Stegostoma tigrinum: one gene and its partner. The protein of the gene in region 1 interacts with the protein of each later gene in a pairwise test. Links are inferred from orthologs where the notes say so. Each region holds a gene or a part of one and is shown in the gene's direction. Other genes may lie near its edges. The genes, in order: mid1 and ubtd1b.

What was found.
Region 2: the proteins of mid1 (region 1) and ubtd1b interact in binary tests that used the Homo sapiens proteins (3 or more experiments, as listed by UniProt). The two-hybrid records come from large-scale screens. The link is inferred for Stegostoma tigrinum from reciprocal best matches to the Homo sapiens genes MID1 and UBTD1.

The regions. Positions count from the first base shown.
Region 1 is NC_081365.1:69,803,974-69,816,931, forward strand, and holds the start of mid1 (E3 ubiquitin-protein ligase Midline-1), read left to right. Parts: upstream 1-6,669; coding exon 6,670-6,721; intron 6,722-6,846; coding exon 6,847-7,565; intron 7,566-12,958. UniProt on the Homo sapiens protein: Has E3 ubiquitin ligase activity towards IGBP1, promoting its monoubiquitination, which results in deprotection of the catalytic subunit of protein phosphatase PP2A, and its subsequent degradation by polyubiquitination.
Region 2 is NC_081373.1:12,313,586-12,326,180, reverse strand, and holds the start of ubtd1b (ubiquitin domain-containing protein 1), read left to right. Parts: upstream 1-7,775; 5' UTR 7,776-8,361; coding exon 8,362-8,452; intron 8,453-12,595. Other genes in the region: MMS19 nucleotide excision repair protein homolog, read right to left, coding at 5,945-6,029. UniProt on the Homo sapiens protein: May be involved in the regulation of cellular senescence through a positive feedback loop with TP53. Is a TP53 downstream target gene that increases the stability of TP53 protein by promoting the ubiquitination and degradation of MDM2.

The DNA.
Region 1 (12,958 bases):
CTTGACGTCAGTGGTTGGGAAGCTACTGGAGAAGATACTGAGGGATAGGATCTATTCCCATTTGGAAGAAAATGGGCATATCAGTGATGGTTTTGTGCAGGGCAGGTCATGTCTTACCAACTTAATAGAATTCTTCGAGGACATGACAAAGTTGATTGATGAGGGAAAGGCTGTAGATGTCATATACATGGACTTCAGTAAGGTGTTTGATAAGGTTCCCTATGGCAGGCTGATGGACAAAGTGAAGTCACATGGGGTCCAGGGTGTACTAGCTAGATGGATAAAAAACTGGCTGGGCAACAGGAGTCAGTAGTAGTAGAAGGGGCTTTCTCAAATTGGAGACCTGTGACCAGTGGTGTTCCACAGGGATCTGTGCTGGGACCACTGTTGTTTGTGATACACGTAAATGATTTGGAGGAAGGTGTAGGTGGTCTGATCAGCAAGTTTGCAGATGACACTAAGATTGGTGGAGTAGCAGATAGTGAAGAGGACTGTCAGAGATTACAGCAGAATATAGATAGACTGGAGAGTTGGTCAGATAAATGGCAGATGGAGTTCAATCCGGGCAACTGCAAGATGATGCATTTTGGAAGATCTAATTCGGGGTGATCTATACAGTAAATGGAAAAGTCCTGGGGAAAGTTGATGAACTGAGAGATCTGGGTGTTCAGATCCATTGTTCCCTGAAGGTGACAACACAGGTCAATAGGGTGGTCAAGAAGGCATATGGCATGCTTTCCTTCATCGGATGGTGTATTGAGTACAAGAGTTGGCAGGTCATGTTGCAGTTGTATAGGACTTTGGTTTGGCCACATTTACAGTCCTGCATACAGTTCTGGTCGCCACATTACCAAAAGGATGTGGACGCTTTGGAGAGGGTGCAGAGGAGGTTCACCAGGATGCTGCCTGGTATGGAGGGTGCTAGCTATGAAGAGAGGTTGAGTAGATTACGATTATTTTCATTAGAAAGATGGAGATTGAGGGGGGACCTGATTGAGGTCTACAAAATCATGAGGGGTGTAGACTGGGAAAAAGCTTCTTGTATCCACCCTGAGTGGGGGACTCAATTACTAGGGGTCACGAGTTCAAAGTGAGAGGAGGAAAGTTTTTAAGGGAGATATGCATGGCAAGTTCTTTACGCAGAGGGTGGTGGGTGCCTAGAATGCGTTGCCAGCGGAGGTGGTAGACACAGACACGTTAGCGTCTTTTAAGATATATCTGGACAGATACAAGGATGGACAAGGAGCAAATGGACACAGACCCTTGGAAAATAGATGACAGGTTAGACAGGATCTCGAGCGGCACAGGCTTGGAGGGCCGAAGGGCCTGTTTCTGTGCTGTAATTTTCTTTGTTCTTTGTTCTTCTTTGAGTGAATCTAATTAACGCCCATTTGACATTCAATGGTATTAGCATTATTGAATTTCCCACTTTCAACATTTTAGGAGTTATCATTGACCAGAAGCTGAAATGGACTAGCTTTATGAATACTATGGTTACAAGAGTAGGTCAGAGCCTGGGAATTTTGTGATGATGAACTCTCCTCCTGACTCCCCAAAGCTTGTCCACCATCTCTGGGGCACAAATCAGGAGTGTGACGGAATATTCCACACTTGCTTGGACGGTTGCAGCTTCAAGAACCCACAAGTAGATTGACACCACCCACGACAAAGGAGCCTGCCTGTGTGGCACCACATCCACAAGCATTCACCCCCTCCACCTTTGCTGTTTGGTAGCAGAGTCTGTACTATCTACAAAATGCACTGCCATAACTTAGCAAGGCTTCTTCAGCACTTTCCAAGCTCCTGACCTCTACTACCTCGTGGGACAGGGGCAGATGCAATGGGAACAACTCCAAAAGTTTCCCTCCAGGCCACGCACCAGTCTGGTTTGGAAATATATTGCTATCTCTTCCTTTTGTGCTGAGCCAATATCCTGGAACTCCCTTCAAAGCAGCGTTGAGAGCCCCTACGTCCCAAGGACTGCACAGTGTGAAGAACTGAGCTCAGCACCACTTTCTCCAGGGCAACTGAGGATGGGCAGTAATGCTGACCCAGCCTGAGACACCCCACTCTTTATGAACAAATAAAATCAATTCTGGAATTTAAGCATCTCCTGTTATCACTTAAGCATTTTACAGGTCATCTTCCTGTTTGTCTCCCTTTTCATGTTCATGTATATGTTTTTGTTCATTTGTTTGTCATTCTTCAGGCCACTCTTTCTCTTTGTTTCTGCAGTTTATATCAGTTAGTGCCGACAAAGAGTCAACATTTGAAAATTTTCACTCCTCTGCATCGTTCCCATTCTGACTGATCACAAATCCGTACAAAGCTGCTCAGGATATTTTTCTGTAGCAAATTCAAATTTCACTTCTCACGTTGTATTTTCTTGCTTTGCAGCCTATGGGTGGTGTTGGCAATGCTAGCATTTACTGCCCATTCCTAGTTTCTGTGAGGCGTCATGGGGCGGGATGCCGTGCGAGGTGTCTCCACCTTGAACAGTTGGGAGTGTAGGGTTGGACATTAATCCTGGAAATTTCAGTACATGACCTCTTACCCCAAAATGCAAGTCTTCCCCATCCACTTTGTGAAGAATGGACAGAAGTATTCAATTGTCATTCAGTGATTCCTATCAATTGTCTTTGATTATTCTTAGATTGTTCACATTTAGTGTTTAGAAGATTAAGTTTAAATACCTAAGGCTCCAGATTGATCCTGGGGATGCTTGCAGTCATGGCTTGGACATAAATAATATTTTCGACTTCCCACATCCTACAACACACACCCTCTGACACACATGGATACACATACACATACACACTTCAGAGTGCTAGATATTTAAAGATTTCAGTGCTGTGGCTTTAGACACAGTTCTGTCGCAGAAAGTTTAAATACACGGCAGTACATCAGGCAAAATAAGGATCCTGCCAATGCCAGCAATGTTTAACCCAGTCAATCATTCATTTCAGGTTGAGAAAACAGCCAGTTAATGGTTTATGTCAGTTTTAATAAAGATCTACAGTGGCCAACTGGAAGATGGCAGACCACCATTCCGTGAAACTTAATGGATCTGTGCAGGGGTAATTTGCTGTGTTGTTGTCCTTTATTTGAACCAATGTTATAAGTGCACATTGAGCATGTAAAATAACAAGAGAATGGGTCAGGAAATTCTCCCACAAGGGACCAACTAGTCAGTCACTTTCACACAGCTCTCACAAGTGAGTTTGTACCGTTGTCTCAAGACTTTAATAAGAATAAAACGTAAGAAGTAGATTTCTTTTTATTATGCTGCCAAAGGGGTTTTCGTTTGGGCAAAGGACCATTTTATCAATGTGCATTACTGTTGTTTGCCAGTCTCAATGCAGTAAATCATCATCTAGTGCTTCACTGGAGTGAACTTAGAAAGAAAACTCAAACAGCCACATAAAAAGACAGCAACACAGGTGACCGAAAGCTTATTCAAAGTGGCAGGTTTTAATAAGTGTCAAAAGGAACAAAGAGAAAGAGGGTTTTAGGGATGTAATTTCAGGTCCTGGGGCCTCGCTAGCTAAAAGCATAGCCATCAATGACTTTAGGGGAGGTGTGTGAAGCCAGAATGGGAAGAATGCACTTATAGAGTCATAGAGATATGCAGTACAGAAACAGACTCTTTTTGATCCAACCCGTCCATGCCAACTAGATATTCTAAATTAATCTGACCCCATATGTCAGCATTTGACCTATGTGCCTCTAAATCCAAACCTATTCGTGTACCCATCCAGGTGCCTTTTAAATGCTGTAATTGTACCAGCCTCCTCCACTTCCTCTGGCAGCTCATTCCATACATGCACCACCCTCTGCGTGCAAGAGGTCTTGGGTCCCATTGTAAATCTTTCCCCTCTCACTTTAAACCTATGCCCACTAGTTTTTGCACTCCCCCATCCTGGGATAAAGACCATATCCATGCCCCTCATGATTTTATAAACTTAACTAAGGTCACCCCTCAGCCTCTGATGCCCTAGGAAAAATAGTCCCAGCCTATCCAGCCTCTCCATATACCTCAAACCATCTAACCCTGGCAACATCCTTGTTAATCTTTTCTGAACCCTTTCAAGTTTCACTATATCTTTCCAATAGCAAGGTGACCGGGATTGTGTGCACTATTCCAGAAGTGGCCTAACCAATGTCTTGTACAGCTGCAATATGATGTCCCAACTCCTGTACTCAATGCACTTACCCGAAAAAGGCAAACGTACTAAACGGCTTCTTGTCTACCCTGTCTACCTGCAACTCCATCTTCAAGGAACTATGAACCCACACTTCAAGGTCTCTTTGTTCAGCAACACTCCCCAGGACCTCACCATTAAGTGTATAAGACCTGCCCTGATTTGCCTTTTCAAAATATAGCATCTCTCATTTGTCTAGATTAAACTCCATCTGCCACTCCTTGGCCAATCGATCCATCTGATCAAGGTCTTGGAGAGTTGTAAGAGAAGATTTCAAACTTCAGGAAGTTGAGGCCAAGGGAGGGATTTGAAAATTAGGGTAAGCGTTTTAAAATCAAAGGAATTGCTGGAGCAGATACCAAGTTTACCAAGGCCTTTGTAGCAAAGGCAGATAAATGGAGTTGGGCTGAAGATCAATGATTAATTAACTGATGAAAGGCGCAAGATTCAAGGCGTTTTCTACTCGAAGAGATACAAGTTGATTTAACTGCACTTACTGTTACCATCAGTCATGACCACACCAAGAAACCATTTTAGAATCTGTGCAGCAAAATAAAGACACTTTCTTGTCAGCACTGGTAAGTTTATAAAATGACCCCCATAGTGCCTTTGTTTGAAAATGCTGGACTTTGGTTCAAGAAAGAGAGAGGCATCAGGATAAGGATTTGAGCTGATGCTTCCTCACTTTTACCTCTGGATCAACAGCTCATGGGTTCATGCCCCACTCCAAATACTTGACATAATAAAGGCTAATAAACAGGAGGAGAAGTGAGGGAGTACCATACTGTCAGAGGTGCTGTCTTTCAACTGAGGTGTTGAGTCCGAGGCCCTGATGACTTTCAACCAGCCACTACAACAGTAGTAGACTCGTCAACTTTAAGAGCATTTAAATGGTCATTGGATAACCATATGGATGATAATGGAATAGTGTAGGTTAGATGGGTTTCAGATTGGTTTCACAGGTCGGCGCAACATCGAGGGCCGAAGGTCCTATACTGCGCTGTAATGTTCTATGCTCTATAAAACATTCTGAGACACCATTCACAGCAGAGTCACACTCAGTGCCTTGGCCACTATTTATCCCTCGACTAGCGTTGCAAGCCAAAATTAGCTGGTCACTATCTCATTCCTTTGTTTACCATAGCTGGCTGTGCACAAATTGGTTTCCTACATTTGAAAGGGGCGACATTCCAAAAGTAGTTGTAAGGATGTCCCAAAGTCTTTTACTGCCATGAAATTCAATTCATGAAATCCCCTTCCTCTCCGATCTCTCCTTCCTCACATATCATCTTTGCCAACTTGTCAAATCTCATGGTGCAGAGGAGATGCCTCATTTAAATCTTCGAATTCCACCAGCACTTGCAACTCAAAATATTTTAACACTCAAAGTAATTTCTTATGAATTATGCGATGCAGTTAGGGATTAGTGGCACCTCCGCCGTTATGATTTCTTTCGGTTTACTGCTCTGGTAAATTAGAGGGGGCTTTGTGGTAGCTCAGAACAATCAAAGGTCATGTTTGGAACAGTTTGAGGTGAGGCGAGAATAATCCCAGGCTCAAACTGTTTTTTAAGTGAAAAGGGGTTGACCCTCTGGAGTAACTGAAGTGAGAAATTTTGATTGGTGGGACCCCCCAACCCAATGTGAAGCCTGTTACTGCGTTGATAATGTGATCGTCACATTGGCTACCCTTGTAAGGTTGGAAATGTGGATTCATAGCCTTCACACTGGGATTATACACTGTACTGTCACACAGCCTGCAGCACCCAGGGGCTTGTTTCACGAAGAGACCCTTTTTGAACCTAGAAACTGCTGTTGTAATTCTACACAATGTTTGCAGTGATCACTGTGCTGACTGTAATTGTCGATAGAGAGAAGAACATTTTCACAGAAGTGATGGCTTCTTTTGAGCTACTATTTTAGCCCTCAGTAAAATCTTACCAATCTTGCTGCCAACTCGTTTGTAATTAACGATGCCTAGAGCTACTGGGCTGTGCGTAGTTCCACTGATTTTGTTTTTCTAGCCGCCACCCTTCCCACAATCTCGCTCTCCCTCGCTCACTGTTTCCAGCTCACTAATGAGTGCCTAAGCCCCCGCTAATGAAGCAGTGTTTTTTTTTCGGGAAAGGTTAGGAGGTCCTGCAGCAGGACAGGGCCTGGGGGAGGAGAGGGCGCGCAGCTGCCCTCTCTAATGCTGCCTCTGGTGAATGGAGCGCACAGCTCGGATGTATCAGTGTGTGCAGAGGTAGAGGGTTTCTGCCTGACCGAGCTGTCTGCCTGCAGCAGTCAGTGGCTGTCAAACCGGGCACCGAGCAGTGGGTGGGGGGTGTTACTGCCCGGCCAATGTTCAGGGGAAGCCTTCCTGACTGTGCACAGTGATGGGCAGGGGGAGAGAGGGATCGAAATACTTGGATTGTGCGATGCAGTGGCGATCTTGCACACCTCAGTCCAGCTGGCTCGTAACCGCGATGGGTTGCGTTGGGGCTGTAGCGTGGCAAGGGGCAGAACCCGGGCTGCAGCGTAAGTCGGCAATCTCCCTAAATTGAGCCCCGCGTTTCTTTTCCCCCCGCATCACCCCCCCCCTCACTTCCTCCATCCAGCACGTGCACAATGTCGTCTAATCCAATCCTGTGTTGCCTTTCCAGATAGCTCGCCAGCTTCCCTGGATTTTGCTGACGACACAGGATTGCTTTGCCTGAAGATGGAAACACTGGAGTCGGAACTGACCTGCCCAATCTGTCTGGAGCTCTTCGAAGACCCGCTGCTTCTGCCGTGCGCCCACAGCCTGTGTTTCAGCTGCGCCCACCGCATCCTGGTTTCTCACTGTGCGTCGAACGAGAGCGTGGAGTCAATTGCTGCCTTCCAGTGCCCGACGTGCCGTTATGTCATTGCCCTCAACCACCGCGGTTTAGAGGGGCTGAAGCGTAACGTCACTTTACAGAACATCATCGACCGCTTTCAGAAGGCATCCACGGTCAGTGGTCCCAACTCCCCGGGCGAGAGCCGGCGCGAGCGCCCCTTCGACGGCAGCGCCATGACTGCGGTGGAGCGCATCCCGTGCCAGTTCTGCGAGCAGGACCCCCCGCGGGCGGCTGTGAAAACCTGTGTGACCTGCGAGGTCTCCTACTGCGACGGGTGCCTGAAGGCCACCCACCCGAGCAAGAAACCTTTCACCGGGCACCGGCTCATCGAGCCCGTGCCCGACTCGCATCTCCGTGGCCTCATGTGCCTGGAGCACGAGAGCGAGAAGGTCAACATGTACTGCGTAACCGACGAGCAGCTCATCTGTGCTCTCTGCAAGCTGGTGGGGCGTCACCGAGACCACCAAGTGGCAGCACTCGGAGATCGCTTTGAGAAAATAAAGGTATGTGGCTTTCACTCCGACCTTTCAGTTCTCTCTCATCTGTCTGACGGAGCATTCCCAGAGGGTGGAATGTGTCGGATGTTGCCTGCTTGCACTCCTGCGAAGCACCTAGGAATGCTTCAGCGCATCGAGGGCGCTACATAAATGCATGTGGATTTTTGTTGCAGCGCAGCCTGGCTTAAGCCCGCAGTCGACTTGCGTTAAGAGATTGCGACCGACGAGCGGGTGCTTCCCATTGTAACCGAGCAGGGATTGGGAAAGCCGAGAGTGAAGCAAGCAGTTTGACTGGTGCTGTTTTTGCAGAAGGGGATCCGCTCAATCGGAAAGACATTAGAATCGGAACGGAGTCAAAAACCTTAATTGCAGTTCACCGCATAGAGATTTGTCCCTCTGTTTTTAATTTTTAAAGTAAGCAAAAGAACAACAAGGAAACATCATTGTGTAGAATAATATTGTGTTAAAAAAGTTGAAGCTTACCTTTATGAGACTCAAATGAAGGTTTATTTTCAATTGTGCAGAGATCACTTGTGTACACACTTTTTTACCTCTTTCTGGTGATTGACCAAATCATTTGCAATGGATAATTCCTATCTTCTCTTCTGTTACATCTCTGACAGTCTCGGCACAGTGGCTCAGTGGACGGAGCTGCTGCCTCACTGCACCAGGGATCTGAGTCTGATTCCAGCCTCAGGTGTCTGTGTGGGGATTACATATTCTCTCCGTGTCTGTGTGGGTTTGCTCCCACAGTCCAAAGATGTGCAGGCTAGGTGTGTTAGCCATGGGTAATGAAGGGTTGCAGGTTGGGGATCTGGGTGGGATGTCCTTCAGAGGGTCGGAGTGGATCTGATGGGCTGAATGGCCTGCTTCCACACTGAGGAATTCTATGATCAGTTCTGACTCTGACTAATGGTTTTACATTCTCTGGGTGTAAAGGAAATTTGCTGCACTGTTCTGAACCCAATGGCAGATCACAGTTTGCACACTTTTGGATCTCCGGACAGTTTTAGTCACAAATACCGATGCCCACGGCATAGAAACAGATTGTTATGCTCTACAACAGCCCTCACCCACCTCATCATGTTGGGTTCCCAACCCTCCTGTATTTTGCCCTTATTTGTTCTTTGTCAGAGTGCTGGTGAAAATAGGGAATATTTGTTCTCCTACCAATGTGCGCCAGGCTGCAATCTGCCCCTGGCTGATTCCGCTACGTGGTATGATTCTTCTGAACCCAGACAAATGATGTGACCCCCCTACTCCCTGCAGAACCCATCCCCCCTACGTAACCCCATCCCATAAAGGGTCATGGAAATCCAGAATTGACTCTACAGCAGCTTCAGAAATTGGCCTTTGCTGGAATTGTAAGATTTGGTGGGGTGGGGGGAGCCATTGCTGATCGGCAGATTCTGGGGGGGCGTAGGGTGTGGGGCATTGGGATTCAGTTCTGTGGCTCCTGTCCCTTGCCAAGATGAATGGCTCCCTATGAAATAGCCTCTCAAGCCTCCAAGTTGCATTAAACTGCTGCAACTTAAGGAGGACACCTACCGCCCCTCAGGGAATCCAGGGGCAATGAAGGCAACTTCGTCAATCATGCTCGCATTTCAAGATTGAATTTTAAAAGAAAATATCCATCTCTGTACAATGAGTTGCTTATCTTTCATTTCCGCCTCTGCTAAGTCTGTTCCTCCTTATTCCAGGCTATCACTTCCTGAGCTCTCACTGCTGTACTTTCTTTCACATTTTTTACTTTGTATCCCAATTGGCTCTTTTCCTCTCACTCTTACTCTCTGTCACCTCTTCCAGGATTCTTTCTATTTGTCATACCCTGCTGACTTTCCAATGCATTCTATTTTTTTTTTTGCTTATCCTCTCCGTCCCTTCCTTGAGTGTCCTTTTTCCAAGTTTCATAACTCCCGTCCCCAATTTTGATTTGAGTAATACTTAGTTAACGCCTCCTCATGGCACCGGAGCATTCCAAATATTGTAGCTCTCCAGATAAATCCTGCAATGAATTGAGAGGCTGTGGCCATTTCGGATGTATGACACAGCCTTGTCCAAAACAAACTGTAGTATAAATAATCAGATCATCTACTGCAGTGATGTTGTGGAAGGGATACACTGGGCACCAGAAATCCTCCTCATCTTCACGTAGCATAATGGGATTGTGTTTGTTCCCGTCCAAGAGGGAAGACAGGGTCTTGGTTTAATGTCTGATCCAAAAGGACAGCCCCTCTGACAGTACAGCACTTCCTCAGTACTGCACTGGTGTTCCAGCCTGCGTCTCGTGCTCTGGAGTGTGACCTGAACACATTACCCCCATCCCATCGTGAGGGGGCTACCACTGAGAAGCAACTACTGCCTTCATTTACTGAGAAGCTCCCATTTATTTGTCATGTTCTTCCATATTTCTGCCTGATGAATAAGGCTGGGAGTTGAAAATGACCAGCATGATAAATTTGGAAACTTAAATGGCAGAGAGTGCCATCAATTGTATTGCCTGTCTATAAATATGATTCAACTGAGTGCTGTTATCTAAGTTCAGGACACTAAAAGCTTTTCATGAAGCTGAGGTACATTTTTATGAAAGTGAAGGCATTTTTACATCTTAATTCATTATTAAGTATTTTCAATACTGACTAACAGCACTTTTGAAACATGTTGCATTCCTTGGCGGGGGGGGCTCATCCTGAGCTCATTTCTTTTTTCACAAGGCAAGAAAAAGTACATGTTCTCAACTGTTCTCAGTATGTTGAGCCTTTGGCCCAGCGCTAGTATTCTAGTCTCTGAGGCAGAAGCTTTGAGCCTTGAAGCTAGAAAACTCTTACAATAAGATCAATGACTCTCTTCTCCTTTTGGTGCCTTTCTTTTGTCGAGGTTTGAATATATCGTTGCAGCAATCCAGGAGGATTTAGAAGTGTGTAGTGTTTGGTCGAGGGTATGGTAGATGCAATATAACGTGGAAAAGTGTAAGGAGGAGCAGATGTACAGAATATTTTGCAAACGCTGATAGGCTGGCAAGTATAAATGTACATTCCTTGTCAAAAAGTCACTGATGGCTAACATGCATGTTCGATAAGCTCTTCGGCAGGATAATGGAATGTTAGCCTTTATTCCAAGAGGATTGAGAACAGGAGCAGTGGAGTCTTGCTTCAACTGTGGAGAAGTTAGGCTTGACTGCACATGGAGAGTACTGTGTGCAGTTTGGTCCGCTTTACCTCAGGAAAGATTTTACCACTATAGAGGGTGTACAGCAAAGATTCACTGTACTTGCTCCCGGGGAGGTGCGACTGTCCTATAAATAGATGGTGACCAAACTGGGCCTGTATTCTCTCTAGAGTTATGAAGAGTGAGACATAATATCATTGAAACCAAAAGGAGCAACAGGGTAAATACATATGTTATTTACCCTGGTTGGAGAGTCTGGAACCAGGGGACACAATTTATAAATACGAGGGACACCATTTAGGATTCTGTTTAATCCTGACAGTGGCAAATCTTTGGGATTTTTTTCCCTGAGATGTATGTGGAAGCTCAGTTTTTCAATATGTTTAAAGGAGTGGTTGATCATTTTTGTTCATCAATGACAAGGTGTTACAGCGCTCATGTGTGTAAGTGTTCAAGCAATATGATGAAGACCCAGATGATCTTCTGGGGACCTGGGCTTGAATCCTACCATAGCAGATGGTGCAACTTGAATTCAATAAATATCTGGAATTAAGAGTCTCGTGATGACCGTGAATCCATTGTTGATTGTTAGAACAACCCATCTGGTTCATTAAAGTCTTCAGGGAAGGAAACTGCCATCTTTACCCAGTCTGCCCTACATGTGACTCCAGACCCACAGCAATGTGATTGACTCTCAACTGCCCTCTGGGCAATTAGGGATGGGCAATAAATGCTGGCCTGACTAATGATGCCCTCATCCCATGAATGAATGAGAAAAAGATTGTATTAAATGGTCAAGCAGACTCAATGGGCTGATTGGCCTACTCCTGTTCCTACAACTAACAAATGAAAGCCTGGATTAGTTATATGGAAAATGTATTTGATTGATTGAGTTCTTTGGAGTAACAGAGAGGGTTGATAGGAGTGGTGTGGTTGATTCTATGTGGCATAATTTAAACTCTGGAATCAAAGGAATAGTGGCAGTGTGAATACAAAATAGGCTAAGAAACAGAGCAGAGGCAAAACTACTTCATCCAATCCAAAGGAAGTCAAAGTGGTGCTCCCCAGGTGAAAGGAATACTTTGTTAATACATATGTATACACTGTATTATTGATTTGGACTCAGCTAAACATGGTGTTGATTCCAAGTTTGTAAATGACCCGAAATTCAGAAATATAACTAACAAAGCAGAGAATAGTCACAGGAGGACATAGACTGGTGAACTGAGAAGACACGGGTTTAATGAAATTTATTATAGTGAGGTAATGCATTTTGGTCAGAAAAATTAGAATAGGCAATATAAATGAAAATGGTTCCATTTTTTTAAAAAGGGTACCAGAACAGGAGTAGGTGTATGTGTACAAATCCCAACGGAAAGAGAGATTGACACAACACCTGTAGGAAATTGACTTCATTAGAAGACACTTCAGGGACCATGGCTTTTTTTTTTGTTTTGTGCTTTTGAAAATTATTGGCAGAACTGCGAAAGTGCTGTTTTTAAAAAAAAATGTCTTAAAGCATTACTGCATTTTGTTGAAAAGTAAGTATCCTAACACCTAAGCCATGAGCGAGCAGGAGGTTGAGTTGCAGACCATTAATCCATGAGATGATGTACAGATACAGCTATGGCTGGAAAGTTGATTGGCCTATGAGCTAGTGACCTAGATTAATGGTAGAGACCTTTTCCTGTCAACAACTGTGTGGTTGGTTCTCCAATAACTGAATAGTTTAGAGCTGAGGACAATTTAAAGAAAGAAAGAGAGAAGTTTTCACTTCTTCCCCAGCTTTGGACTGGTCTCTCTATTCTCTGAAAAGAACCAGTTTATCTTCCCTGTTTTTACAAGCTGTGACTTTTAACTGGAAAGTCAGAGACCTTTTTATAAGTGAACCAGTCACCTTGTCTCTCTTACCAACCAATGGTAGTTCCTGGAGAAAGACAGCTGCAAAACAGCGAGCTGGCCAGCAGAAGAGTCAAAAGGATCATCTCAACAACAGGCCATGGGAAGACAGACTACTGAATTTCTATTATGGTTCCTCCCTTCTGCCCAGTGAGATGGCTCAGTGGTTAGCACTGCTGCCTCAGTGTCAGGGAACTAGGCTCGCTGCCAGCCTCGGGCAACTGTGTCTGTGGGGAGTCTGTGAAACCATTTCTCCCCGTGTCTGTGTGGGTTTCCTCTGGGTGATCCAGTTTCCTCCTCCAGCCCAAAGATCAGCAGGTTGTGTGAATTGG
Region 2 (12,595 bases), on another chromosome or scaffold:
CTAACCTCATCCCACCTCCTTGACCTGTCCGTCTTCCCTAGACTGACCTATCCCCTCCCTACCTCCCCACCTACACTCTCCTCTCCACCTGTCTTCTTTTCTCTCCATCTTCAGTCTGCCTCCCCCTCTCTCCCTATTTATTCCAGAACCCTCACCCCATCCCCCTCTCTGATGAAGGGTCTAGGCCCGAAACGTCAGCTTTTGTGCTCCTGAGATGCTGCTTGGCCTGCTGTGTTCATCCAGCTTCACACTTTGTTATCTTGGATTCTCCAGCATCTGCAGTTCCCATTATCTCTGATACAACAGTATAAACAAAGACTTGCATGCATCCATATCGCTCGTAGAATGGTCCCCAGTATCAGAACTATGTCACAGTATGTTTCACAGGTTGGTTAAAAGTGATTCAAGGAGTCTTATGATGCATTGGTGACAGCCCTAACTCCAGGCCAGGAAGTCTGGCTTTCAGTCCGACTTATATCTGTTATATATCTTTAAAAAAAACTGACTGAATATAAATTGTCCTAACTCCTTTCACAATGTCAATACAGTCTAACATGCTTACAGCCTATACCTACTTCTGAAATACAGTCACAGTTAAAATGAAAAGCAGGGAAGCCGATTTAGATTAGATTCCCTACAGTGTGGAAACAGGCCCTTCGGCCCAACAAGTTCACAACACCCCTTGGAGCATCCCACCCAGACCCATCCCGTCTAACCTACACACCCCTGAACACTACGGGCAATTTAGCACGGCCGATCCACCTAGCCTGCACATCTTTGGGCTGTGGAGGAAACCGAAGCACACAGAGGAAACCAACGCAGAGACGGGGACAATGTGCAAATTCCACACAGACAGTCACCCAAGGCTGGAATCAAACCTGGATCCCTTGCACTGTAAGGCCGTAGTGCTAACCACTGAGCGGCCGTGTCACCCTGCACATAGCAAGCTCCAACTAAATGTGACAATGACTTAAGTGTTTTTAGTGACATGGACTGAAACATAGGTATTGGCCATTCCCTTTACTCTGTTAAAATAGCTGCAAGAAATCTCAAGTTCATCCACGGCAGCACGAGGCCTCAGTTCAGTGACTAACCTCAAAGACAAAACTTCTAACAGTACAACGCCTTCTATGCATTGGGCTGCCAACATTGATTTAGTTTTCCAAGTCTTTACATTGTAAGTCCACATAAACCAAACTACAAATTCCACGAAATAAAGTGAAGGAACAAGCCATGGGTGGTTGCATGAGTAACACTTAAGATGAGCATTATTTCACACATCTTCCTTGAAAAACAAACCAGGAATATGCACAGAAGAAACTGAGATTTATCTTCCCAACCCAGTTTTGCCCAGGACAGCCACCTCTCTTCAGCATCCTCCCCTTTTAAATCAACTTAAATTAACTTAAATTAACTGGTTGTCTCGAAATTCAACAAATGGAGAGGGAAATGGGCAATTATTTAATGTTATAAATGCACCATTGTTTGAATTTGAACAGGCAGCAACTCTAGTGGAGCAGCACTTGTACTGCAGCTATTCACAACAGATGTTCATATTTTAAATGAGGGAACTTAATGTAGTAACTCCAAGGTTGCAGATGGCACAAAGCTGGGTGGAAAGGGGAGTTGTGAGGATATTCAAGCGACCTTTCCCTGACCTGTCCCTGTGGTTTCCTTAACCCAATTGCATCTTGGTGATTTGGACAAGGTGAGCGGGCAAATGTATGGCAGATGAAGTATAATGTGAGGTATCTACATTGGTAGCAAAAACAGGAAGGCTGATTATTATTTGAATGGTGATAGACTGGGAATGGGGAGGCAATACAACTCGATGTAGGCATCCTCATACACCAATCACTGATAGTATGCAGACAGGTGCAACAGACATTAAAGAATACATATGATATGTTGGCCTTCATAGCGAAAGAATTCAAGCACAGGAGCAGGGATCTCTTTCTTGCTGCAATTGTACCAGCCCTTGGTGAGACCACACCTGCAGCATTCTGTGCTGTTCTGGCATATTCATCAGAGGAAGGATATTCTGACAGTGGAAGGAGTGCAACAGAAGTTTAACAAACTAATTCCTGGGATGGCAGAACTGACATATGAAGAGAGATTGGATTGGTTAGGTTAGGACAGGACTATATCCACCAGAGTTGGGGGCGGGGCAGGGGGGGCGGGGCAAAGAAACCTTTAAAATTCTAACAGGACTAGACAGGGCAAACCAAAGGAAGAGATATCCAATGACCTGGGAGTCCAGAACCAAGGGCCCCAGTCCAAGAATACATGGTAGGTCATTAAGAGTTGAGAAGTGGAGAAATTTCTTCAAACTTGAGAGTGATGAGCCTGTGGAATTCACAATTGCAGAAAGTTCTGGAAGCATAAACATTGAATGCTTTAAAGGAGAGTTAGATATATTTCTTACAGCGAAAATGATCCATGGGTTAGGGAGGATCCTGAGTGGGATGATCAGCATGTTCGTATTGAATGATGGATCAGTCTTGAAGGGCCAAAAGACCTAGTCCTGCTCCTATTTTCTGTGTTTCTATGTCTCTTTAGAAATGGAAGTGTGCTTCTTTCTAAGAAAAACACTGCTTAGTCATATCAGCCCAAACTCGCAAATAAGTTCCTCCTCAGGGTAAAAGCTACCAAAAAGTGTTTATCAAATCTGTTGTTGTTCCTGAATATATCTGTGATTGCAAATAAGTAGAAAAGATATCTTCCGAATTCAAAGGTTTTCAAACAAAATATTCCTATGAATGTTGTACTCTTAGAAGCGGAGTGCACAATGCAATCAACACGTAACTCTCAGTTGCGACAAATATCAAAGATTCCACAGACTTTTTCAAGAACAGCAGCTTTGTTCACTGTGCCAGTCAATCAATAACATTCACAGAACCAAGCTCAACTGTAAAGATGCAGCAATTAACCTCAATACCAGAGTTAAGTAAGGACGGAGGTGGTGACTAACATTGAGGGCTAGCAAAACAGTATGTAAACCTGGAACTATAGTTTGAAAAGACAAGACTTGCAGAAATAGGGTGGCAGGGTGGCTCAGTGGTTGGCACTGCTGCTTCACAGCACCAGGGACCCATGTTTAATTCCAGCCCCGAGGAACTCTGTGTGGAGTTTGCACACTCCATGTCTGCATGGGTTTCCTCCCACAGTCTAGAGATGTCCAGGTCAGGTGAATTGGCCATACGAAATTACCCATAGTGTCCAGGGGTGGCTAAATTAGGTGGATTGGTGATGGGGGTGCAGGGATGAGGGGTGAATCTGGGTGGAATGCTCCTTTCTGAGTTGGTGTGGACTCATTGAGCTGAATGGCCTGTTCCCACACTCTAGGGATTCTATATTGTTACAAATGGTATAAATTTGAAATAAAAAACAAATATATAAAATAATCAGGTCAGGCAGCATTTGTGGAATATGGAACGGAGCTAATACTTTGAGTTGAATATAACTCTTCTTCCAAACTTCTTGTAGGAGCACTGCCAAGAGTCAAACAACAGAAGAAATGCTCACAAAAAAGCAAAATTACATTGTCAAAACTTTTTTGATCTGGCAAAATAACGAGGGAGCGTTAAGCGAGGCATCTTCTGGAGTGCTGCGTCCAGTCCAGGTTGCCTTGTCATAGGAAGGATATTATTAAGCCAGAGAGAGGTCAGAAAAAGTTCAGCAGGAATGGAGCATGTGAGTTATAAGGAGAAGCTGGGACCCCTGTTTCTACTGGAGCATAGGTGGTTGAGGGTTGACCTTATCGGAGCTTATAAAATCATAAAGGTGATGGTAGGTGTCTTTCCCTTGAGATGGGGGATTTCAAGACAAGGAGTGGGGGGGGATATCTTTTGCTGAGAGGAGAAAGATTGTTTAAGAAAAAAAGAGGGGCAACATTTTTGGCACCGAGAGCTATTCTTGTTTGGAATGAACTGCCAGAGAAATTCATGGATGTAGGTAAAATTACAATATTTAAAGGACATTTAGATAAGTCCATGAATAAGACGGATATGGACTAATCGCAAGCGGGTGGGACTAGGGTCAGCATGGACTGGTTGGGCTGAATGGTCTGTTTCTGTGTGGTATGACGATGACTGTGACAAGGGAAAGTTTTTTTTCCAATTTGTAATCTAAGTTTCTCCATCCTGTATATATTACTAATCGCAAACGTTATTATTTAATTGAGATTTCATAACATCCACATTTTTAAGAAGTGCAACATACATCAGTGCAACATTAAGAATAGATTGCTGCCCCAAGGCAGAAATCACTGGTGGATGCGGTGTTTAAGAGCCCTAAACTCCCAGCCACAAGGAAAGTTAAGTGAATCAATAATTTTCAAATCAATACCACATTACTGCTATCTGTGAAATTCCAGTAAAGCATGCCATTATTTGGAATTCAAAGGTCTTATCTATCATTGACTGTTTTGCTGGATCCAGAAGCATCAAGTTCCTGCAATCAATTTTAATGAAAGGTAATTTGACACTTTGAAACCGATAACCCATCTGACATAATAGCTTTTTTTTTCAATGAGAATAATGGGGAAAGTCAGCGAAAACAAATAAATGAATTCACTACCAATAGACAAATTTTAAAAATGCCATTTTTAGTATTTCTAGCTAAATTGCAAGAACGGTTATAAAATTGTTAAATGCTTCTCATTCAAAGTGACAAATGTTTATTTTCCTCTCCAATTTTCTCTGTTTTCCCAATAAAGTTTGCTCCCCTAAATTAACAGTTCCTCAGAATCTGGTTCTAAACATGGCCATTCTGCATTAAGGACTGCAGTACTGAGTCCAAAGGAACATAGAAGAACACATTCTGGAAGGATCATGGGGTCAAATGTAGAAAACAGAATTTCAGTAAAACTAATTTTATCCACCTGGCTTTGAAAGAATCAGCTTGCATACTTAGATGCAGCCTGAAATATGGGATCAGGACATTGCTTTATCACAATCAAAAAAAACTTAGAGAAGAGAGCCTCAATCCATTTAGATATTAAAAACCCAAAATTACTGTCACTAGGTTACCAGTGAGGGCAATTCTGTCTCCTTATTCAACGAAAGATATATCTGTATTCAAGGGAGTGCAACAAAGATTTATTAAATGTGATTTCTGGAGTGAGGAAAATGTCCAAAGAGGAGAGATACAGTAAACTTGGCCCATGTTTTTTGGGGTTTAAAAAAATGAAAAATCTTATTGGAACCCTGAAGTTCTTGAAGAGTTTTACAGGGTATATTCTGGGAGGATGTTTCCCCCAAGGGAATCACTGTTATCAGAATAAAGGGTAGGCCATTTCAGAAATTAGAAGATGCTCTAAGAATTGGCTTTATTGAAAACAGAGAAATATTGATTTTTGGATACTAAAAAAAATAAAGATAAACATGGCGGGGGGGTGTACTGTTGGATGGAGTTAGGGTAGAAAGTCTTACTGAATGGTGGTGAAGGCTCAAAGGTTTGTATGGTCACGTGCATTTTTTAATGTTCTTACATGTAAATAAACACTAAATTGGAGTTAAGATCAAAAGAAGAGTCAGACAGTTTTATATCCTATATAAAGTTTAGATCTCTAGGCTTCAACATTAGCTCAGAGATGCCAACCTCCCAAAATTGATGGTCAACTCGAGAAACTCTGGCAGTGCTGAAACATTACACTGGCCATTTTTCAGACAAACCTTAAACTGAAATTTTTTTGCCTAGGGAATTGCTCAATACTCAGCTTATTACTTGAACAGATTCCTGAAAAGCTAGGGGAGGCCTACGTGAGGGCTGTCGAGCGCAGAAGAGATACAGATTCCAGTCAGGAAACTGGGGTCCGTGCGCCGTTACCAGGGTGACACGGCCAGACGGGCGGCGCCACTTCCTCGCCCGGGACCCCTCCATCAGCAGCTCGTCCTCCCAGACAACAATAGCTGTACACAGCACCATTCACTTCCATTCCTACCTGTAGCTAGGTCCTTGGCAGCCCCGTCCTGCAACCCACTCACAAACTCCTCCACCAGCCCTAACAGCCTCATGTCGGCGGCCATGCTGCTGCACTCAACCGCGCATGCGCCACGAGCTGGATGTCACGTGACCGCAAATGGCACAGATCACATGCTCATTACTCTGCAGACTACACAGAGAAACTCCTTCACTTGACAGCTTTGATTTTAATTCTGTTAGTCAAAGGGAACAGAGACTGAATTCAATGTAGAAGATAAAACATTTTTAACGGACTCACGCAGTTATTTGGCTGTCCAAAGCTTCAGTATTGTTGAAAAAGCAGACATGAAGTAGTATAAAAATTCTTCTTTTGTCAAAGTTGATTTTTTTTTCAACAATACTCAAATCACAGAATAATTACAATGCAGAAGAGGGAGGTGGTGGTGTAATGGAAATATTGCTACAAGGGTTATCCAAAAGAGAAGGAAATGTGTTATCCTTACCTGATTTGACCTAAATGTGAGCCACAATGATGTGGTGAACTGTCAGTTTTCTTCTTAAAAAGGCAATACCAGTGATGCTCAACATCCCATGAAAGGATAAAGGAGGCCATTTGGCCTATTAATAAAAATTTTGCATTTTGTTCCATACTAATTTTGGTCTCAAATCTTCTTAACCTTTCCCTGACCTGCCCCTGTGGTTGCCTTAACCCACCAACCCAACCCCAGCAACAGAATAAAACCCACTCCTTCCTTCTTTAGTTCCTTAAAGAGTCACTGTATTTAAAATATTAGCCATGTTTCTGTCTCCACTGATGCTGTCAAACCTTCTGGGGTTCTCCAGCAGTTCCTATGTGTATTTAATTTAACCGATTCCCCTTCTGCCTTCACAATGTAACCCTGCACATGATGTACAAATCAGGAAGAAGAGTAGAGATAACAAAGTATAGAGCTGCATGAACACAGCAGGCCAAGCAGCATCTTAGGAAAGCTGACATTTTGGGCCTAGATCCTTCATCAGAAAGTTTCCTGCCCCTCTAATGTTGCTTGACCTCCTGTGTTCCTCCAGCTCCATACTGTATTGTCTGTAAATTTGATCAAATCGTCATTTTTAAAAAATAAATTAAAGAGATGATTATTTGAATTTGTATAGCAACAATGGAACTTTGTTCCTGAAAATGCCGTCTTTGAATATTTTTAAGAAATACCTTGACAAGTACTTTTTAAGCAAGGGAATGAAAAGTTATTGGGGTTGGTGGGAATGTGGATTTGAGATTACAATAAGGTAAACTGTCATATAATTGTATAGTAGAGCAGGTTTGAGAAGTTGACTAGCCTAATCTTCTTCCTGAGATGATAGGAACTGCAGATGCTGGAGAATCCAAGATAACAAAGTGTGGAGCTGGATGAACACAGCAGGCCAAGCAGCATCTTGGGAGCACAAAAGCTGACGCTTCGGGCCTAGACCCTTCATCAGAAATCTGTTCCTCCAGCTCCATACTGTATTGTCTCTGACTCCAGCATCTGCAGTTCTTGCGACCCCTGATCAAATTTAATTCTTTCAAAATTGCTTTAATCTTTTAAACTCGAACTCAAGATTTTAGACTGGAGCTCTGAATTAGTCAACAATTGATGTTACCCAGATTACCCCATGGTCCTTATTATATGGCACAGAGTAAAGTTTCCCCCATTTCTAGTTTCAGGGGGTCGCCTTAGTAACGGCTGGCATCCGGTTGCTAAGGAAGAGTACGCCGATGGGGGGGGCGTGGCAGGTGCCCGTGCGCGTGCGCGGTGGGCCGCGCGTCAGGTGTGGGAGGCCAGCGTTACCCAGCGTGCACCGGGCGGGGTAAGGCAACGGCGCAGGCGCTTTGGGCCGGTGGGTGTACATTGATAGTAACGTCGCTCAGGTGGGGAAAGGCTGGTAGTGGAGTGTCACTGCTGGTTCAGCTTCCGAAAGATATGGAGTGAAGCTAGACAGAATTGTATGTTCACAGATTAGACCAACTTTTGCTTTGTGACATTGAGGGAGAGAAAGCGCGAGAGAGCCTGCCTTATTGGCTGAGATGGGAAGGTTGGTGAAGCGATGAGAGATGTTGGTGTAGTTTTGCAGTAGCAGGTAAAGTAGGTGAGGGCCGACTGGTTGCCCCGGTTACGGGCTGTTACTTGGTTTGGGAGAGAGAGGAGGGGTAGTTCTGTGTTTGCACTGGGGTTTTGGGGTGGGTTAGGGATTATCTTGGATCCAAACTTTGCACGGACTGGTGGGTCTTAAAGGTGGACCGTGGGATTTCTTTTGTGTGCGTTTTTTGGGAGGGGATAGACGGCGAGTCTTTAAGAAAATGAATTCATGAGCTCCAGGGGACTTGCTGCGAGTTTCTCCCAGACTTCAGGTGGGTTTGCGGTTAGTGGGTGAGACGCACCTGGGTCAAGGGCATCATTGATGGGAGGCTGCGTGGGGACCCAACGCCGGCAACAACAACAGCAGCAACATCATCGCTTAGGGAGACGGAGTGGCAATGGGAGAAAAACAGGTAAGGCAGCAGAAGAGTGTAAAATTATGATAGCGCCCAGTGTTTCCGATTGGGCGTGCTCAGCAGGGGGCTAATGGCGTAGGACTTTTTTTCACTTTTGGTCATAATTTTAGTTCCAGCAATGCAATATATTTTCCATCGTGTCAGTGTTGTGTTAGTAGAATCGCCATCCAAATTGTAGTTCACTAAATTAATGAGAAGTCTGTTCACGCGCTGCTTTTGGAAGCTACTTCCTTATTTATATTTCTTCCATTGCTACATGGCAAGGCCCATCTATCTACTAATGTTAGATTTATGCCTGTGTTGATACTGATACTCAGACATTTATCATTTTTTCAGGATAAAAGCTCGATGTTTTAATGTAGCCATTCAGTTTAGGTGAACTTACCTTGGATATGTATCAGTGAAATTACTTGTTCTAGCTCTTTCTTTCCCACTCTCATCTCTGACCTCTGTATTCTGCCCCATGTAAAAGCTTTGTCTCCAAAGGTCTGTTTTTGCTTCCTGGATGCCAGTTTTATACCCAGGTGGGCAGGGAGATTGAATGCTGCTTGTGATAGCAGCAGACCTGCTGTATATCTGGTCGATTCTTAGACACACAGCTTGAGTGACTGCCAGCAAGTCTGGTTATCCCTGAAATAGTCAAATTCAATAAAAGCCATTTTTGGATAAATAAGCATTTTCAGTAATGTTGATAGTAAGGGTTAAAATTTTACTTTGTAGCTGGAATGTGTTTTCTTTTTATGGAATTAATTTTTCATGTCAATCTTATTTGCATAAGAAATTTATTTAACTGTTTTCAAAACAAAGTTGATTGCTTTACCGACCAGAAAAATTATTTGTTTTGCCCACCTGGGTGGCTGATATTCATGTTAACCTACACTTAAGGTCAGATTTGAGTAGACTGGCATTAGCGAACAGACCTCCGGTATCAATACCTCATTCTGCTTCTCCTATCCCAGCAGAACTTTGCCCAGTTTTTCATTGATCTACAGTTTGGGGGTCTGAGATAAGATGATCAGATTTAGTAAAGTGAATGTTAGGAGCTTGTGATTCACGCAGGTATTTCATAAGCTGTATTCGTAACTAAGTTATTTCACAAGCTGTTTTCGTCATCCTGCAATGGAGGACAAGTCTATAGGGACACACCCCACTTAATTTACCTGTAGCTGCTTCAGATGAATAGTCAACTAAAATATTTATCCAAAACAGTTCCTGGCAGGAATTTCCATATAATAAGTGAAGTGGCAATGTTCTGCAGAAAATTCAACCGGTTTATCTTTGTCTAGGGTTCACAAATGTAATTAGTGCCTGAAAAGGGAAATAATTGCCGGGTTCAGGAAAAAGCAGGGGAGGGGGTTGAGGTAATTAACTCTGGTGAAGAGTTTGCATGGAGAGAGCAGACAGTGATTTTTCTGTGCGTTGTTCTATGATTTCCAACATACATGACTATAGTCACAATAACAACACTGAATGAGGTCTCTGAGCTGACTGAGTGAATGATAGCAAAAAAAAACATTGTCTTTCTTTCCCATAGCCCAGTACTTAGTATCCTTAATGTATTTCCAATTTTCTTTTGAAGACTAATGAAGTTGTGTGCAGATTTATATCTTCAAATTTAGTACTAGTTGAAGTTGAATACCTTTGCAAATTGTTAATTGAGCTTTTTCATAATTATGTCTTCTACGAACTTTATTTGTAACATTTACATATTAGCATATTCTTTCCAGTTTTTGCAATGCTTATTTATCTTATGTTTCTACAATAATTTAAAATGATTGCAGTAAGGAAGCAGAACATATTGCTTTCTATATTGCATGACAAAAGCAACCGTATTGGGGATTATTTCCCAATCTAGCGGTCTGGTATAAGATTGTGGTGGGTGATTTGCACCAAAGTGATGAACCAAGAGCTCCATGTGGTCTAACAGATCAACCCTAGTTTTGCAATTAACTCTGAAAGTTTGCACATTAGGATACAGTCTAACAGTAAGCACCATGACAGATTGTGTGGAAGCTTAATTTGTACGTAAATCTCTTAGCGACCGTTGTAGTTTGTTGCATTTGTACCACTGTTCGTGTCTGACAGGAGATATTTCTTTTGTATAGTGGAATGAAGTATAAAAATATGATTGAGTTTTTCCAGCAATCATCTGGCAGCGTTTGTGTAGAGAGAGCCTAATTAACATTTTCAGGTCCAGTGACCCTTCATCAGAACCCGGCAACTTGATTTCCAACAACTGCAGTTCACTGGGTTCCTTTGTATAGAAGTATGAAGTTTGCAGTGTTATGATACACATTTATACACACTGGAGGCATTCAACTATGTTCATGGGGAGATAATCGTGAATGATATGTTAGTGACTGGCTTCATTAATTATAGATGATACTGTAATTGTACAGTCTAGCTTTGAAATAAACGAAAGAAAAGGCTTCTTATCCCAGGCTGTTAAGACTAATGCAAAAAGAGCTTTCAGCCCTTCATTATTAACTGATTCATCTCTTTTCCTTCTTATAAAACTAGATATGACAAATGTGTCTGTGTATCCAGATTTCACCCAATTTTTAGCAAATGCTGTTATGCTTGCATGCTGGCCCAAACAATGTGCCAGTCCAATCTTTTTGAATCAATAATCTCCTATGCTGTAAATGTCTTTAATTCTGTGATCTCACTCTGCCAAATGCCATTCTTTCAAATCCCTACTTTGCTTCTTTTCTTTGCAATAAACATTTAAAACCTGCTTTTGAAATGTTTTTTTTGTGTGCAGTGTCTTGAAAAAGTTTATTTTTATTTTATCTACGTTAATATGCTGTCTACTCCATGAATGGAAAATCAACAATAAATTAGTCTTTTGGCTGTCTAGGACTGTACACTCAACTGAATCGCTTTTGGTGAAGCTATGGAAGCATATCTGGTTTGTTTCTAGCTATCTTTTTGGTATTGGATCAGATTGGGAACAGTAAACGGTCATGGTTTGGTAGTTTATCCGTAGGATGAATGGGAACAGCACCAATTTTTAGGACTACTTTGTACCTCAGAAAAAAACTTCTGTTGTAAATTGATTTTGATTCTATAACTGTTAACCAAATCTGTTAATTCAGTTTTGCAAATGTCGCTACCCAATAGAGCAGGTCAATCTGGTGCTTAGTTTATGTGAAACATGGGCCTATGGTAAATTTATCAAAATTTTCATGATCTATACTAGACATAACAATGTTCAGTTAGTTAGAACATAGAACATAGAACATAGAACAGTACAGCACAGAACAGGCCCTTCAGCCCACAATGTTGTGCCGACCATTGATCCTCATGTATGCACCCTCAAATTTCTGTGACCATATGCATGTCCAGCAGTCTCTTAAATGACCCCAACGACCTTGCTTCCACAACTGCTGCTGGCAACGCATTCCATGCTTAATGCATAAAAACCCAAAAAGGATGTGTTAACAAGTGGAACAGTACAGCACAGAACAGGCCCTTCAGCCCACGATGTTGTGCCGACTAGTGACTATTCGTTCCAAGGGGATGTTGTGAAGCAATTCTTCTGAAACAGGGCACCACACCAGTGCTTGATTCATTCATGTTATAATGGTGTGGGGAAGGGAACACGAAGGCTCTGCACTATTTGAGCTTTAAGTACAGTACTATGCATCAACTGGCAGAGCACATGTTAATTTAAAACATCATCTAATATTCATTACAGAATACGAAATTCTGATTGGCTTGCCCTTTTCTTTGTCTCAAAATTAGAAAATGGTTGTTGAACAGAGGTTTCCATTTGAAGGTTAATTATAAACTTGAGATGTAAAATAACAATGTCAGTCATTCTGTTGTCTCTGAATCCTGTCTTTTTGTGCCTCCGCTGATGCTTGAGTAAGGCTTTAAATGTTAGTCAATCGTTTCTAATTCAATGAATTGCTCTGAAGCTTTCATTTTGGAAGTAGTGAATTCTATCGTTGAATGCAAACTTGACATTTTTATGGAAATGTATTTTTCCTCCACCAGTTGTCAATTGGAGCTTTTTAAGTGTGAATTTTGGTGTAATTGGTTTTACTCTGGAATCTGGTCTTTATATATGCCACAAGTGAAAGTAAAATGTCCTCTAGATCAATGGGGAATTATAAGATGATGGTTCAATAGACA